Linked DNA regions of Mus musculus: regions 2, 3, 4 and 5 are each reported to be linked to region 1. The links are microRNA targets in miRTarBase. Many come from high-throughput screens and were not tested one by one. Region 1 holds a microRNA gene; each other region holds the end of a gene's coding sequence.

Region 1 (4,299 bases):
GGAACTGTCAGCAGATGTGGCTTCTCTTAGCTGAATAATCCGTTAAAGGAATAATAATTTTTAAAAAGGACCTCGGCCTCACCCAACGAGGACAGTGAAGGAGATCAGCTCTTGGTAAGACTAAAAGAAAAGGCACTAAATTCTCTGCGTCCCTCTCTCTGTCTTCCTCTCAATCCCCTCACCCCCTCCCCCTCTCTTCTCTCCTCACCCCCCCCCCTTTCTCCCCCATCCCCTGCAATCCGCACTCGACGCGAGTTCACGCGCAGGGCTGGATTTCCAAGCTGCACTGCAACTTCTCAGCGCGTTATTATTATTCATCTGAGGGTGCAGCCTCTGCAACCTTCGCCTCCTGCGCTAGCATCCTTCCCCCTCGACCGCGGCCACCAGCAGAGCGGTTTCTTCTGCACGCGTGCTCTGGTTCACCAGAGGAGGATTCTGGCTTTTTGCTTTTTTGTTTTGGTGGTTTGGTTCGGTTTGGGGTTTTTTTTTTTTTTTTTTTTTTTTTTTTTTTGGTTTTGTGTCTTAATTCTTTCAGGGTCATCGCCAGGATGCTTTTCCTCCGGCCAGGTGGAGCCAGCATCAGCGCCTGCCAGCAGCAATTCCCTTCAATAGCCGAGGAAGCACTTGGGGCTTGGCCAGGGAGGCCGCTCCTTGCTTGCGGGGCTGACTTTAGCCTCCACTACTCTCCCGCATCCATCTGCGTGTATATTATCCCCATCCCTTTTTATTCCAATAGATCCGCCTTTGGTTTGGACTGGCTGAAACGCGGCGGACTGCAACCAGGATCCTTTAAAGGAGAACAAAAAGATGAGGATATTGTGCGGGGGTTCCGGGACAAAGCGTCTTGGGACGCGCGGAACTCTGGCTCCCCGATTGGAGAGATCAACGCTGCCCAACAGTACCCGGCCGGACCTGCGGACCTCTGAGGTTATTCGGACTCAATTTTATTGATTTTTGTGGCATGCTTTAAAAGGGTCAGTGTTAGGTAAAGACTGTGTCCCCCAACCCTGTGGGGTGGGTGGGAAGCTGAACGGAACCGATCCAGTTAGATTTAACTTGTCCTCTATGCCCTCTACCTGGCTTTTTTGAGCCATTGGGAAGGAGAATGGGGAAGGCTTAGAAAAGAGAAAGGGGGGGGGGGGACGACTGCCTGAAAGGATAAGGCACTAGTAGGGAGTGGGATGGACCAGGTGAGGGAGGTCTGTGGGTTAGGAAGCACCTTCCTCACTCTGGTGCACTGGGTGGGTTTGTTCAGGGAATGGCAACGTGGGTGTCTGTTGAAAGCAGTCTTGTGAAATTGACATGTACATGCATAAGGTGACTGGACTTGTGTGTAAACAGAGTGATGGAGAGCAGAGAGGGAGGGGTCTTAAAATAATATTTTATTGTCCCTATGGATTTGGGGATCTCTCCCCCACCCCACCCAGCTACATTCTATAGGGGTGACCTTTTAAAATCTACACCCACCCTTTACCTCTGTAAAACCGGTTGACGGGTGGGGTGGGGGAACATGTAGGGGTGCGCGCTCTCTCTCTCTCTCTTTTCCCCCTCCCCCCTCCCAGTCTCCCTCCTCCCTCTGTCTCCCCCTCCCTCTCCCTTCACTCCTCCCTCTCTCGCTCTCCCTTCGCTCCCCCTCCTTCTCTGTCCCTCCCTGCTGCATTTTGCATGAGCTATCTAGGTCATTAGCATTTTAGCGTATGCAAGACTTGACAAGGCTGATGAGGGGCCAGATGGGCCTCGCTCTTATTTATTTATTTTTTTTTTCTTTTCCTTTTTCCCATCCACCACTTGGGACCTAAGCGAGAGGACCGCAGCAGGAGAGTTCCGGAAGGCTGATTCCCACAGATCCTGGTAAGGGACCGCAGCAGCTCTGCCCTGCGGCACGCCCGGCCAGGCTACACCCGGACCCTACACTCAAGGTAAAGGCGGCGGTCACAAGCCCTGCCCAGGCAGCAGTAGCTGGGCCCCTGCTTCCCATCCCTTTCCTCTCCGTCATCTCCCTCCTCCTGGCCCCCCTCAGTTTCCTAGGCGAAGCTGAGAGCGAACTGGGTGGGTAGGATTCGCTGCGGTGGGGCGAGGTGGGGTTGATGTTTTTTCATTGTCTGGAACTGCAGGGGAGGCGAAGCGCGAGGAGAGGAGTGAGGGAGTCGGGGTAATTAACACGGGGGAGGCACCCCTCCGTCTCCCACTTCCACCCACATCCCGAACCCTCCACCCCCCTCCCCTTTGCAGGAAAAAGCTTGGAAACGAAAGGATGCGGGAGAACAAAGAGCCTACGGAGGACGTGGCTGTTATCTCATTGTCTGTGACTGGGGGAGCTGCGGTAGGAAGGATGCGGTGGTCCTTAGCTCATCGCGTTCCCCAACCCCACACCCTCCCTGCTGTCAGTGCGCACGCACACGCACGCGTCGCCAGCTTTTTCTTTCTCATCTCTCATTTTTTTCATCTCATCTTCTCCCCATCCCCTCCCTTTCTTTCCACCTTTCCTTCCTTTCTTCCTCCCTTCCTTTCTCCCATCCTCCCTCTCTTCCATCCTTCCTTCCTTTCCATCCTTCCTTCTTTCTTTCCTTCCTTCCTTCTTTCTTTCCTTCCTTCCTTCTTCCTTCCTCAGGAGAAAGGCCTCTCTCTCCGTGTTCACAGCGGACCTTGATTTAAATGTCCATACAATTAAGGCACGCGGTGAATGCCAAGAATGGGGCTGTCTGAGCACCTTGGGTCCACGAGGGCCTGCCACGGAAGGATCGACCCAGCACAACGCCCTGGGCAGATCTCAGCGCTGCAGCTGCAGGCGCCCACAGTACGGGTAGCAGGCTTCTGAGTGCCTCGCAAAGTAGCCCTTAGGGTGGGGAGGTGTGCAGCTACCGACAGAGAGGGGTTTGTGCAGATGCAAATAGAATCTAGGAAGCAAACAACTCATTCTGTGACAGAAACACGGATCTATGCAAGCGGGGGGGTGGTGGTGGTGGTGGCGGCGGCGGCGGCGGCGGCAGAAAATAGCCTGGGGACGGCTGGAGAGTAAAATGTGCCCCTCAGCTCTGGGACCCTGCCCATTGTAGAAGGCCGACACCTTCATCCCTACCTGTCTTAGTTCCGGATTTCAATTTATTACCCTTAAACAAATAATAATAACCAAGTACCCATGCGACTGGCAGACTGCCCCAAAGCCTAGACTGCAGCTACCTTGTATTGTGCTTGGGGTTGCTGGGGTAGTCTTTAGGGGAAGCTGTTTGTCACCCGTTGGTGGAGAGCTGTGGGCATTTGACAAGCTTAAACAGATCTCTGGAGTGAGCGAAGGCGATCGGCAAATTTGTTCATGGACAGCGCACAGACTCCATCAAAACTGACAGCTAGCCCACTGCTCTAAAGCAGGGCCTCCCAGCCTCCTTGGGGCTGTGGCTGAAGTTTCAGGCAGAAATCCAGAAGCTACAGGAAAAGGAGGCGCAGCCCACCCCCAGCCCCCAGAGTGTGGGCCTCTCCCCATCGCTCTTAAAACCCCAAGACAGAAGGAAAATCAGCATGAGTAAGGTGGAGGCCTAAGGAAAGTCTGTTTTGAAGCAGGCTGTCCAGGAACAGAAAGGGTTAATCCTCCCTCATCCTGAAGCACCTGCTTCCCAAATCAGCCCCCAACAGCAGCAGCTGGTCCTGGAGGCCCCCGACACAGTTCCATCCCGTCTCCATCTCAGTGTTCCGCCAACCTGCAGTGGATGGATGATGGCCTGGTGGCCGACCTAAACTCATTAATTTTCAGGTGGAGTAAATGGAGGAGGGGCAGGACCCAGCAGCAGAGGGAGGGAAAGGAGGCCAAGAGCTGGCCTCCTCCCCCCCCCCACAACCCACCCCCAGGAAGCAGGCTGTAGCCCTCCCCCCTGCTGTCATGCCAGAGGCCTGCCTTTGCAAGGCCAAGCCCATGAAGGATGTTTAGGAGTTTAATCTGATTCCTAACACAGTAATCAGGGTCTAAAAGAGCATCCGTTGAAGTTAATGGAGGACTCTTGTCTCAAAAAGCCTCAGCCTCATCTAGTCTAGTAAATTAGTATTTGAGGGTATATCATAGATCAGTACCTCTCTGGCCTAGTTTCCTCAAGAGTATTCATTATTTCTTGAGTATCTACTATGTGTCCTTCTTTACGATGATTTCAACTTCTAAATTTCCTCACAGAAGAGAATGTTAGAGCTAGCCAGGCTGAGCTTCAATTTACCACATTCCACCTAGGCATTCCCAGAACCTTCTCCCGCTCTGCAGAAATAAGCCACCGCCTGCTTACTCTTGCAGGCAGAAAGCTGCAGTGCCCACACCCT
Region 2 (3,000 bases), not on the chromosome of region 1:
AGTTAATACTCCCACAGCTAAACACCGGCTTTATAGGGGATCCCCTATCTAAGCAGTCTCCCCAACTCTAAAGCTCACTGTCTCTGCTTCCGTTCTCTTCCAGGCCACAGAACCATCTGGACGCTGCTCTGGTCTTATCAGCTCTCTCCTCGTCTTAACTTTTCAACCATTTTTAAATCGTTGTACTAATTGTAAAAAACAAAACAAAACAAAATCGCTCTGTATAGTGACGAGTTGCAAGCATGTCTGTGTATGATTACCTTAAAAGAAACACTAAACAACAACAACAACAACAACAACAACAGGAAAGGACAAAAGAAAGAAAGAAAGCCAGTCCCCCCACCTTGGCCCTCCCCCAAGTCACCCCACATTTAGATTGTGAGGTTCCTTCGTTGTGTTGATTTCGGGGGGGGGGGGAGTGGGGTTACGGAGAGAACAAGCCTGTCTGACTCTTTTTGTATATACGGGAAAATGTACATACGTGTGAACCAAATTGTACAAGAAAGTATCTATTTTTTGGCTAAATAAATGAGCTGTTGCCACTTTTGACTATAACCGGCAGGTCTGCCACATGGACCGGTTTGCTGCATGGTTCTTTGGTGTTTTTGGTGTTTCTTCCCCCCCACCCCCGGCCGTTGTTTAAAGAATCTACAGGAAAAGATGAGCTGGGTCTGAGGACAGCAATGGCAGAAGTCGTTCGGGCTTAGGTAGCCAGGCTTAGAAGCCTCTCCAAGAAGGGGTGATGAGAGTCGCTGGGCGACCGAGAAAAAAGGGCAAAGACCAAGGAGAAAATGATGTTGGTTCCTTACTAGGAGCTGGAAAACTAGGCTCTGCCCACGGGTCCACAGGAGTAACCATGGAGCCTTGGGGCCTCCTCTGATGACTTAGCAGAAAGACTTAGGGAAGCTTCCAGGAGTTCAGGGCGTGGGCTGGGAGACTCGCCCTCCCTGCTCCCTTCTGACTGCGCTCAACTGAAGTTTCTCAGCCTGGAGTATAGGGGCTGTCTTTAAACGCTCAATGCCTAGGCCTTTCTCGCCGTGGTTCCCTCTCCAACGGCTCCTTATAGGTGCAAAGGGCGTGGGGGATCTGCGTGAGAAGCCGGGGTGTTCACGTTTCCCGCTTGGTGGCGTGTGACCGCGCTGGTGTTGGAAATCCAAGGCCGAAGCCAGGCGGCGTTTGGTCCCTAGGTGCTTATGAGTACTTTTAGAAATCACGCGTGGGTTCGGGGTACAGCCCGGGAACCTTTGGAGCTGGGATCGTGTCAGAAGTCGGGTGAGCCGGGGGACCGTTAAGAGAGGGGCGAAGGTGGCGGGTGGGTGGGGGGTGGACGCCACAGTGGGGAAACCTGGGGCTTGAGCTCCCTCTACAGGACGAAGGGGACGGTCGGCGCCAGACCTTCCCGGCCTCTGCAGCCCTCCTGGTCCCTTGCCTGCCTGGACACTGCCTGCCTGGCTTGCCCAACTTTGATTCTAAGAAGTGGAGAATCACATTCAGAGTAGTGACGCCTTGGATGGGGTTCGAAGTGGGGGCGCCTTTGAGGCCCTCCTGTCTGGCCCTTTGGAATTTCCGGGATAGCCATGCACTGTGCATCTGAGCTGCAGAGCAGGGCTCTCGTGAGCAAGGTCTTGCACACTGTTGGAAGGTAGAAAGAGCTAGTGCTTACAACCTGGATCAGCTTCCAGTCTGGATCCAGCACAGTCAACATTGTGGATCTGTATGCGAGGGCCGCCGCAGTGTACGGGTCCACGAGATGAGGACACAGCTGCCAGAGCCACGGGCGACCTGGGACTCTGTTGTATGAAGACCGGTGCCCACATAACGAAAGTCCTCAGAATGGAGACCACTAGCAAAGAAAAGGACAGTGACAGCGGGGGGTTGGGGGGACGGGGACGGACTGATATTCAAGCAAACACTTCCTTTCTCTGTTTGCAAAGGTGTTTCAGGGGTTCAAGGTCTTTCACAGTTGAAGCATTGACGCTCCATCTTCTTAGGTCATACATGTGAAGTCAGTACCACAGAACAAGGGTCAAGGCTCTGGTTAGTGCCATGAGTATCTGTACAAGGGCATCTTAGTTCCTACCTCCTGGGCTTAGCCCTGACCCACACTGACTATCCATTTACTTCCCAGGAAGCCAAGGGCAGAGAATTCACTTCCTCGGGTTCTTTTTCACCAGCCGCCTGCTTCACAAGGTGAGGATGAGAGAGGGGGGTCTGCCCGTGCTCATTCTTAAGTAGGGGTGTCCAGCCATTTGCAGAGGCTTAAACTAAATATCCTCAGTTCCCAGGGGTACCTGCCGCTCCCCTTCCCATTGTCCAGAAATGTGAGACCTTTCCTTTAGGTGGCTCAAGAGACCCTGAAACCAGCTTTACCAAGGAAAACAGGAAACTACCCAGGGGAAAAATGATGTTGGTAGGCACAGTCTTCTGGGAGGAGGTCCCCAGAGAGAGGGACTTCATCAGTGGGAGAGAGATGGGTGGACATAGGGTCTCTCTCCAGTGAAGCTTCCGGAACTGCCCAGACTGTCTATCTTGAAAGTACAGCAATAGGAGGAGGCATGGGGGAGCCAGCCCCACCCTGGGCATATCTCATACAGTGTGTGCTTCAGACACCACCGTTCCCAAGTTGACCTCAGTATACCAACTCAACCAAAGCAAAACAGAATCTCCCAGGTTCCCAGCAAAAGAGGAAAGGGTCCCAAGAAGTCCCTCCATTCCTTAATATTGATTCCTAAAATGGAGAAGGAAAGTTAGAAGACGTGGTGGGGGGGGGGTGAGAAGTAGTGTACGTCTTGTCCCTGCTGCTGCTCCAATCAGAGGTGAAATATGTCAGCTCGACACTAGGAAGTGCCTTTGCTGTCCGGCTGGTTACTCAGAGCCATCCAAAGTATGTGTGGGATCCACTAGGTTGGAGACACTGCTTTCCCCAATATCTTCACAGAACTGGGAAGGGACAGTGCCTGCCAAGGCCAGAGAGCCCAAGGAGAATAAAATTACCTTCCA
Region 3 (3,000 bases), not on the chromosome of region 1:
CCTTCGAGGATTTTCTGGGCTGAACTGTAACCTACGTGTTTTAGTATGACGACTCTCGTTGCTCTTACCCTCTGTCCAGCCTGGCCTTGGGACTTTGCCTTCTGTGCTGGTGTGTGTGTGTGTGTGTGTGTGTGTGTGTGTACCTTGAAGGGGTTAACTACTCCTTGGTTAGTTTTTCATGTTTGGGGTGTTGCTTGCCTCTGATGCATACTGATAAGTACGGTGCTCTTCCTTTTAGAACCTGAAGGCAGCCGACAGCGACCCCACGGCACCCCCTTACGACTCTCTGTTGGTGTTCGATTACGAGGGCAGTGGTTCTGAAGCCGCTAGCCTGAGCTCACTGAACTCCTCTGAGTCGGATCAGGACCAGGACTACGATTATCTGAACGAGTGGGGCAACCGATTCAAGAAGCTGGCGGACATGTACGGCGGTGGTGAGGACGACTAGGGGACTAGCAAGTCTCCCCCGTGTGGCACCATGGGAGATGCAGAATAATTATATCAGTGGTCTTTCAGCTCCTTCCCTGAGTGTGTAGAAGAGAGACTGATCTGAGAAGTGTGCAGATTGCATAGTGGTCTCACTCTCCCTACTGGACTGTCTGTGTTAGGATGGTTTTCACTGATTGTTGAAATCTTTTTTTATTTTTTATTTTTACAGTGCTGAGATATAAACTGTGCCTTTTTTTGTTTGTTTGTTTCTGTTTTTGTTCTTTTGAGCTATGATCTGCCCCAGACACAACAGCCCCAAGCCCCTCACACCTCACTAATTTTTTACATTGTGTACTTGCCCTCAATTACCATGTTTGCTGTATTCTAATAGTCACTCATGTTCCTGAATTCTGTTGCCCTGCCCAGGTGATATTCTAGGATGCAGAAATGCCTGGGCCCTTTTATGGTGAGAGACAGGTATCTTGGTGTGGGTGCAACTGCGCTGGATAGTGTGTGTGTTCCCAAGATCTTTCGTGGTATTCCCTCTCCACCTCCAGAGAACTCATTTACAGTGGCATTCCTTGTTCGGCTATGTGTCTGGGGCAGAACAAAAAAAAGGGACCACTATGCATGCTGCACACGTCTCAGATTCTTAGGTACACACCTGATTCTTAGGTGCATGCCATAGTGGGATATGTTGCTTTGATCAGAACCTGCAGGGAGGTTTTCGGGCACCACTTAAGTTTCTTGGCGTTTCTTTCAAACCAAAACTAAAGAATGGTTGTTCTCTGAGAGAGACTGGAGTGCCACCACCAAAGACAGAGGAGAGAAAAGGAGAGAAACCAAACTTGGGGACAGCAACATCAGCGAACCCGGCTAGTTGGCACACCGATGGTGAGGGTACACAGGCGGTGAGACCTATCCCACAAGATTTCTGGAAGACTAGGCTTATCTCAACCAATGTTTTCTGGCTGGAATCTTTGTCCATGTATTCCTGAAGCCCAGGAAATGCACCCCTCCAATGCCTGCTCTTGATGGTAGCTACAGAAAATGCTGGCCGATTTAAACCCAAGTTGCCCAGTTCTGAGTAGAAAACTGAGACTATGCTGTGTGTGGCGGCGCGCACCTTTAAGCCCAGCACTCAGGAGGCAGAGGCAGTCAGATCTCCCTGAGTTCGAGGCCAACCTGGTATATATAGTATAGTAAGCGAATTCTAGGACAGCCAGGGCTACACAGAGAAACCCTGTCTCTGCAAACCAAAAGAGAAAACTGAGAATATTACAAATTGTGCATTTTCTCAGGAAGCAGGAAGAGAACATTCTAACGGGAAAAAGGAGACAAGACCTTTGAGAGTTTTCATTCAAAATGCAAATCTCAGCTTTTTGATAACCACTGGAAAGAATTTTATTGAAAGTTCTGTACTTACCTAACTTTGGAAGAAAATGATGACCACAATCAACTGTGAGAACTGTTGATTTCTCTGTAGTTTAATCATGTAATGTTGCTAGAGTGACCTTTGTATGTAGTTTGAGTGTATGTGTGTGGGTGCTGATAATTTTGTATTTTGTGGGGGGTGGAAAAGGTAAGCCATTGAAACCGTTCTCTAAGATGCATTTTTATGAATTTTATTAAAGAGTTTTGTTAAACTGTTGTGAGGCTCACTTGATTTGACTCTGCCAGGATTCCTAGACCAAAGGACAGAGGTGAACTCAGATCATGGGAGCTTCCAGCTGATGTGTCTTCTCCATGCTTTGGGGGTCCTGCATGGGGAGGAAATGCTTCCACGGGGTCACTGCTCAGAGCCCCATCCATGTGATGTGTGGTGGGAGCAATAAGTACCAAGGCCACTGGGGCATGGGGGACCTGCGAGCTTCAAGGCTGTCGGCAGACATTTTCCAACAGTAATGGAGGCAGCGATTCTGTGCAGAGGAAGACTGGCCTCCCCCGAGCGACGTTTGTCAGTGCCTTTCCGCTGCCCCCTCCCTGCTCCGTGATAGTACAGATTGAACCTAGGACCTTTCGTGTGCTAGGTGAGTGTTCTGCCTTTGAGAAACACCCCCAGCTTCTTTGTGCTTTGTACTCTTTCATAAATTATAACGATAGCGTGTGTGTACACATGAGTGCTAGTGACCATGGAGATCAGTTGTCAGATCCTCTTCAGCTAGTTATAGGAGGGTGGTTATGTGCCACCCTGCGTGTGCTAGGAACTGAAGTTTGAGTCCCGTAAGGGCAGTGTGCACTCAACCAGAGAACCTTCCTCTCTGCCCCCCCCCCCTTTTAATGCATATGCATTTTGTGGCATTGGAAACTGATCCTGGGATTATATGACTGAGTCAGTTGACCCAGATGACATTTGACAGTTTCCATTTGACAGTTTCCAATCGACAGTAGCCAGCAGATGCTGCTGTCAGCTCGCAGGGTAGTCCTCATAATAAGAAATATCAATTTACTCCTGTGGAAAAACCATGGTGATAGGAGTATAACTTTCTTCTTACATGAGCAGTTTTCTTTTCTGACTGGTGCATGCCATGTGTGTGTAGAGAGAAGGCCGGAAGTAGGCATCAGATCCCC
Region 4 (3,000 bases), not on the chromosome of region 1:
TACAAAGAGAATGTTCAGAAAGTGGTGAAGTAAAGAAAGCGGCTTTCTAGGCTAAGACTTGATCCTGAGTTGACCTTACTAAGTGTTGACCTTGAATGTCAGCTTGATTAGTTTTACTCTGCATTCGTGGCAATTGAGTAACATAAAGTAACTGGTTGGCTTATTACAAACACCAAATGCTGCAAGTTCTAAAACTACCTGAGGTGTATTCTAGCGGATGGACATTACACTGCAGTGAACCATCCGTGTTAGCAGTTAGGGGCAGTCACACCTCTACGGGGAAAGCCTTTTAGTGAGTATTGTGGCTCAGCACTGGGCTTCTCAATGCGGATACTAGAAACACCTAGTCCAACTTGCCCTATAGGGAGGACAATTTAAAGCTGGGAACAGTTTAACTTATGCAAAAAAACTTTAAAAGATGTTAGAGTTTTTTTTAAAAAAAGTCAAAACCACGGCAGGAAACGACTGCTCTTCCTAATACAGATATTTTAAAAAGAGAAATCTGATGAGGAAGTTCTTAAATGTCATTTCCTTTTTCAAAAAACGGAGAGGGGGTTGGGGAGTTCATATTTTTGTGGTGACATATAACATAAAAAAATTAAGAAAGGCATATAGAAAATAAGTCTTCAAATAGTTGAGTAATCTTCTTCAGGCAATTTCTAAATAAATATAGACACAGCTACTGCTTGCTTTAAAGAAACAACAAACAAGCCCACATTTATTACTCCACTGGGAAACAACTACAGTATAAGACCATGCAGTGCTCCTTAGGCAGAAGTTGCTACAAGCAGCTCAGGGCTGCTGGAGGCACAGCTAAGGGACACACATTTCCTGGATCCAACAGAAGAGACCTGTGATGAGCTTGTGATAATGGTAGGGGACAAGGTCTTCCCCTCACCTTTATAGGGGAAGGATGGAAGCAGGGGAAAATGAAGAGGTCAAAGTGGCCCTGGCTGGCTACAGCTGAGAAACAGACTCCTTGGTGGAGGCTCTGAGCGTTCTCTGGGAACAGGGCAGGTCAGAGCACTGCTCGGGTCTCTGATTCAGCTGAAGGCACGGATGCCTTTCTTACCACCAGAACACATAGCTGATCTTGTGTAAACAGCAGGAGAGGATCCCCTCTGCTTCCTTACAAAGGCTCTAACTAGTCGTAGGGCTCCCTGAGAACTAGACTCCAAAGTACTGTATATGTACAGGACATTAACAAATACACAGCAGCACGACAGTCACCTCTCCACATTAGGGTCACAGATCAGAACCTCTACTGAGCTGGACAAAGCCACCACTCAAGCTGAGTGTCCACACAACCGTGATAGCCAACCTTGGTTTAGGCATCTCTCAGGTACCTACAATTTCCCAAGTTCCAATAAATTCTGTTTTGAGGAAATCAATTTATTTATTTATTTGTTTGTTTAATTTTATGTGCACTGGTGTTTTGCCTGCATGAGTGTCTGTATGAGGGTGTCAGATGCCCTGGAACTGGAGTTACAGACTGGGGATCCTCTGGAAGAGCAGCCAAGGCTCTTAACCACTGAGCCAATTCTCCAACCCCTTGAGAAAAATCAATTTTATTTCAATTAACCTTATAAGCTAAATCAAAAGCTAGTTAAGAGGGGCTGAAGTTTCCTGGCTGTAAGAGTTGCTGTCATCATCCACGAGATGCCATTTAATGGCTAGTGAGCTAAATCACTCGTTTGGGCTGGTGATTTTGTGTTTGCAAGCAACAGAAGATATGCAACCGGCTGTGGAAACCAAGCTGCACGGGACAGACAAGAAAGGTTCCATGGCAGTAACACTCAGCAGTTGGCAAGCACATGACCGCGGTCTTACAGACTGGGAAGAGGCCGCCTGGAGCATATTTCAAAACAGGAAAGTAGTGGGGGATGCTTGGTGTTCAGTGGACAATACATTCACACTAAGTAAGGGTTAAACCAGTCCCTGGATCCTTAGTGAACTATAGAGGAGGGAGTACTTGAGAACTTAAGCCTTCCAGGGATCATGGTTCAAAGCCTCTGAAATTCACAGGAGTCAACTAAATGAGAACTCAACACCAGAGCGGTAACTTCTCTACTGGCACCAGCACAGGCAGTGGTGATTTTCATGTTTAATATAGTAATCAGTGTCCTAAAAACCCCTCAAGTTTTTAAGGCACCGGTCTTATTAAACGATTGAGCTGCAGCACGCTAAGTCTGGCCTTTTTTACAGTAAAGTACACGGACAAAATAGCCCATGGAAGCACAGTGAAGGGGTACCCTGACAGACAGATGAGCCACAGGCCCTTCAAATGTTGACGTTTTGAAGATACAGGGGACATGTAGGTTCCCATGGGAACTGCCTCAGGTATTTGTTAACAGTAAGAAGTGGCTCGTGACCTCACTGATGACATCTGCTGCTAGGCCTTACACCTCTCCCACTGCTTGTTTGAACATTGTTTACTGGGGCCAGGCATGGAAGGCACGGTTTTCCCATATGGTTCCTAGTTTTTGAACACAAGTACATGGACGCTACACCCCCGCATCAGTACTTCGTGGCTGGAAACCCTCCTTCCGAAGGCCACCCATGTCAAAGCGGGTAGAGACTTCACAGCGCACTAGTAATGTATCATCCTTAATGAAGGTTCCCTGTCTTAAGGCTTCCAGGTGCATAAATGTTACATAGCCAAAACCTTTGGGGTTCCGTGGGATTGTGGGTCGCTGAAAGGCAAGCAGTTCTGGTTTGGCGTCCATGACCTCTTCGTGGTTTTGCCTTATAAGTGCTTCAGACTGGTCGAGAATTGTAAGGCGTATTGTACCCTGGAAGGGCCAGGGGAGGTGGCTGTCATATTCTCCTTGCATTGTGTGGACAAAAAGGGATATATAGTTTGCACAGCGCTGAGCTGTCGGTAACTGAAGATGCAGGCGCATGCACAGCTTGTACCCAGGTCTGCCTGTGTAGAATCCAGGGCTATGGATGACAACAGGTCTTTCCTCTTCTTGGGATTTCAAGTGCATCCCAAAGTTG
Region 5 (3,000 bases), not on the chromosome of region 1:
TCAGGCCTGTGCATCACCACTCAGGATCAGAGCCTCAGAGCTGTACTGTTGCCATGGTTTCTCTTTCCTCCTGCAGACTTGACTTGCTAGTGTGCTTGCTTTCTAGCATCTTCCTAGATTTGATTCTTTAGACAGGGTCTCATGCAGCCCCAAGTAGGCTTAGACTCTTGATCCTCTTGCCTCGGCTTCTCATGTTCTGAGGCGAGGGCGTTTGTCACCACATAGCTCAGTGTCCCCTTCTTAGTGCACTTCAGCGGCTTAACTTTTATTATGAAAACACCCACAAGCTAAAATGGATATTTAAAATCTTTATTGTTTTGTCATCAAAAGTTTTCTCTCTCTCCACGGTAGGACGACAATGTGTTGGCGCATACTCATGAAAATACTCTTAAGTAGCTAGCCTAGAAACCAGAGATGGGATTGGCAAGCCAGTGTCATGTCAGACACGCAATGCTGCTGCTAAGATTAGTTAGTACCCAGAAAGAATATGCAGCTGTTAGAAAGGAGTCTATGGCCAAGCGCTCAGCACTTCGCTTGTGAAGGAGCAGAGGGCAGGGAGGACCAGAGACAAAACCTCCTGCTCCATTCTTGATCCCAGAGAGGGTTCTGACCATGCGCACACCGCCGGCGAGTCTCTGTCATCATTACTCAACAAGCCACTGCTGGTCTAACCCACAAATGGCATGGCCGCATTTGGACATTTCATAACGCTTCCCACCTCACCACCATAGTAATAAAACATGGGTCAGGGCAAACAGAAACAAAATAAAAACCGCGGCTGTAGACATCTTTAGTAAAAGCTGAACAAACTTGGTGCATGTTCCAGGTTTTTTTTTTGTTTTGTTTTGTTTTTTTGAGAAATAAACTGTAGGAAAAAAAACAACAACAAAAGACAGTTGTCATGGTTACTCATTTTTTCAGCTAAAGGCAGAACACTTCTTTTTATATAAGCACACTGGAGAGACATACAAGTGTCCTCACAAAAAATACTGCTGGATCAATGAGAACATTTTCAAAATCAGCTCTTGGGTAAGGAAAGGACTGAGAACTGAAGATGCCAATGACCGCTACGATTTGGTCATGCCTGGTCACTGAGAAGATTTTGGTCAGGGCTGTGTTTGAAGAGGTGACACAGCTGGATTTGGCTACTCTGTATGAATTCATACAATAAATACCTTACTCACGACAGCGGATCCATCACGATGAAACCAAACCGCGACAACTGAGAGGTTTACAGCAAACCTGCCTTAAGTGCTTTTCAAGTACATACGCTGTAAGGTTGGGAGACTACTCTTACGGTGGTCTAAGTCCTACAACTGCACGTTCCTGGATTACCTGCAAGACTAACAAGTCACTTGTGAATCATGTCAAGGCCTTGTGGGGGAGGGGCACTCTGCATGTATGGCATAGCAATTGGTTTCCTAGTAGTCAAACATTTCTAAACGTTATTAAACTATATTTGAAAAGTTCTTTTACTTAATATATACAATGTACAAATAAGTTAAAAGGAGGAAGCAGAGGGAAGCTTTTGAATATCTACACTGCAAACACACAACTGTCCCATGCATGTCCCTTTCACCCTCCAAACCATGAGAGGTGACAGAGCTCAGACCTGTCACTAAGGATGGAAACGGCACGCAGACAGTGGGAAGCCAATGTTGCTTTTTCCCACACAGCTACTCGCTTGCTTTGACCATAACACACACGGATAGAAACTGGATCCCGGAACTTGTTTTTACACTTGTACCTTAAAGTCTAACATAAATTCTTCTAACAGTTGAGGAGAAAAGCACTCTTTTATAGCAATTCCACAAAATAGTTTTCAATTCACAAAACACCTGTCCACTAGTAAAACCAGCAACCCTTCTGGAGGGCATGGGCAGTATCAGTCGGCCCCCCTGAGGTATAAATGCAGCTATCTTTCACTGAGTAAATAGTAGATAAGGTATGTCAACGCTCTGAAGGTTTGCATTCACCTGGAGTGATGTCATCCTGACTGAATGAAAACTTACTCATGTATACTTTTTTTTTTAATAATGGAGATTAACTGATTTTTAGAGAAAATATATACTTTAGCCCATAATACAGCCAGAAGTTCTGAATTCCTAAACCAATGCAAATGGCTATTACATCTTAAAAATGGGTAACATTGCATACTGATTTTAAAACAACTGAACAGGGAAAACATGTAAGGATTTTAGATTCAGCAGGACACCATGGAAAGCAGTCTAGAGAAGTGGGAAACCAGCCAAGCTTTTCCAAATGAGAAAATCCTTTTAATCTTCAGCAAGTCCCCATGGAAACAGGAGGCGAACAACAGTGAGAAGGAAGCAACTAGGACACCCCAGAGGCTCGCCAACAGCTCAGCATCACGGCCCCTTCTCCTGTGCACGGGTGGCCGGCAGACGACAGAAGTCCAACGTGACTACAGTTCAGCAGCTCCTCACCACTGCTGCCAGCTGAAGTCGTCGTTGCTTCCAAAGACCAGGAAGAAGCCTAGAATAGTCGCGAAGATGACTGTGTTTCCCGTGAGAACAAGTGCGCAAGCTCCCCACTCGATCTACGGCAGGAAGAGAGACACATTCAGCAGACACGCGACGTGAAGGCAACGAGGAACAGCAAATCCATCTCTGTGCATCAGTCAATCACCATCCTAAGCAATGTGGCTTGGGTGACCTTCACAGCACAACACTCCACACCCTGTATGTGTTTTTATTTACTATTGATTGATCGTAGGAGGTGATAAATCACTCAGGAACAAGCTCGCCTTCGAGAACGGCCACTGTAGCTTGCTTCGGCTCTCTCTGCAGTCCCACCCCAGGGTCCTGTGTGTTTAGGATGCACCCTGCCCCGTGTCGCCAGCACCGCATGGGATTGTGTAATTACTACTTACAAAGGAAGTTTTGCTTAGGGAGTCTAAAATCTTGTTTGGAGCAGAAGTTGAACTCTAAGTACCAGTGAGGGAGACATACTTGTACTTTCTCTGACGGGGGCAGAGGA

The links. Region 1 holds the annotated microRNA mmu-miR-124-3p (UAAGGCACGCGGUGAAUGCC, at 2,669-2,688, shown strand). A microRNA usually pairs through its seed, bases 2 to 8, with sites in the 3' UTR of a target mRNA and lowers its output. Matches are read on the target gene's strand: a 7mer-m8 pairs with bases 2 to 8, a 7mer-A1 pairs with bases 2 to 7 and ends in A, and an 8mer does both.
Region 2: miRTarBase lists Irx3 as a target of mmu-miR-124-3p. The part of its 3' UTR that is shown has no 7-base or 8-base seed match.
Region 3: the mRNA of Cdh1 is a reported target of mmu-miR-124-3p. Seed matches in the 3' UTR shown: 7mer-m8 at 675-681.
Region 4: the mRNA of Traf6 is a reported target of mmu-miR-124-3p. Seed matches in the 3' UTR shown: 7mer-m8 at 2,452-2,458, 8mer at 2,145-2,152 and 7mer-m8 at 1,051-1,057.
Region 5: the mRNA of Leprotl1 is a reported target of mmu-miR-124-3p. The part of its 3' UTR that is shown has no 7-base or 8-base seed match.

The regions. Positions count from the first base shown.
Region 1 is chr14:64,588,041-64,592,339 of GRCm38, forward strand. It overlaps Mir124a-1 (microRNA 124a-1), which reads left to right and starts at 2,617; the gene lies at 2,617-2,701. Mir124a-1hg (Mir124-1 host gene (non-protein coding)) reads left to right here and starts at 75. Exons shown (of 4, transcript NR_040709.1): 1 at 75-114; 2 at 737-927; 3 at 1,801-1,919; 4 at 2,233-4,299. Mir3078 (microRNA 3078) reads left to right here and starts at 3,145; the gene lies at 3,145-3,231.
Region 2 is chr8:91,796,080-91,799,079 of GRCm38, reverse strand. Irx3 (Iroquois related homeobox 3) reads left to right here. Exons shown (of 4, transcript NM_008393.3): 4 at 104-569. The coding sequence ends at 158. It overlaps Gm39222 (a long non-coding RNA gene), which reads left to right and starts at 1,337. Exons shown (of 3, transcript XR_879088.2): 1 at 1,337-2,037; 2 at 2,129-2,190.
Region 3 is chr8:106,668,168-106,671,167 of GRCm38, forward strand. It overlaps Cdh1 (cadherin 1), which reads left to right. Exons shown (of 16, transcript NM_009864.3): 16 at 239-2,080. The coding sequence ends at 448. Among named protein-coding and RNA genes, the nearest start is that of Tango6, 13 kb to the right of the region's middle.
Region 4 is chr2:101,697,004-101,700,003 of GRCm38, reverse strand. Traf6 (TNF receptor-associated factor 6) reads right to left here. Exons shown (of 7, transcript NM_001303273.1): 7 at 1-3,000. The coding sequence ends at 2,505. Among named protein-coding and RNA genes, the nearest start is that of Traf6, 20 kb to the right of the region's middle.
Region 5 is chr8:34,135,279-34,138,278 of GRCm38, forward strand. Leprotl1 (leptin receptor overlapping transcript-like 1) reads right to left here. Exons shown (of 4, transcript NM_026609.2): 4 at 294-2,560. The coding sequence ends at 2,444. Among named protein-coding and RNA genes, the nearest start is that of Leprotl1, 10 kb to the right of the region's middle.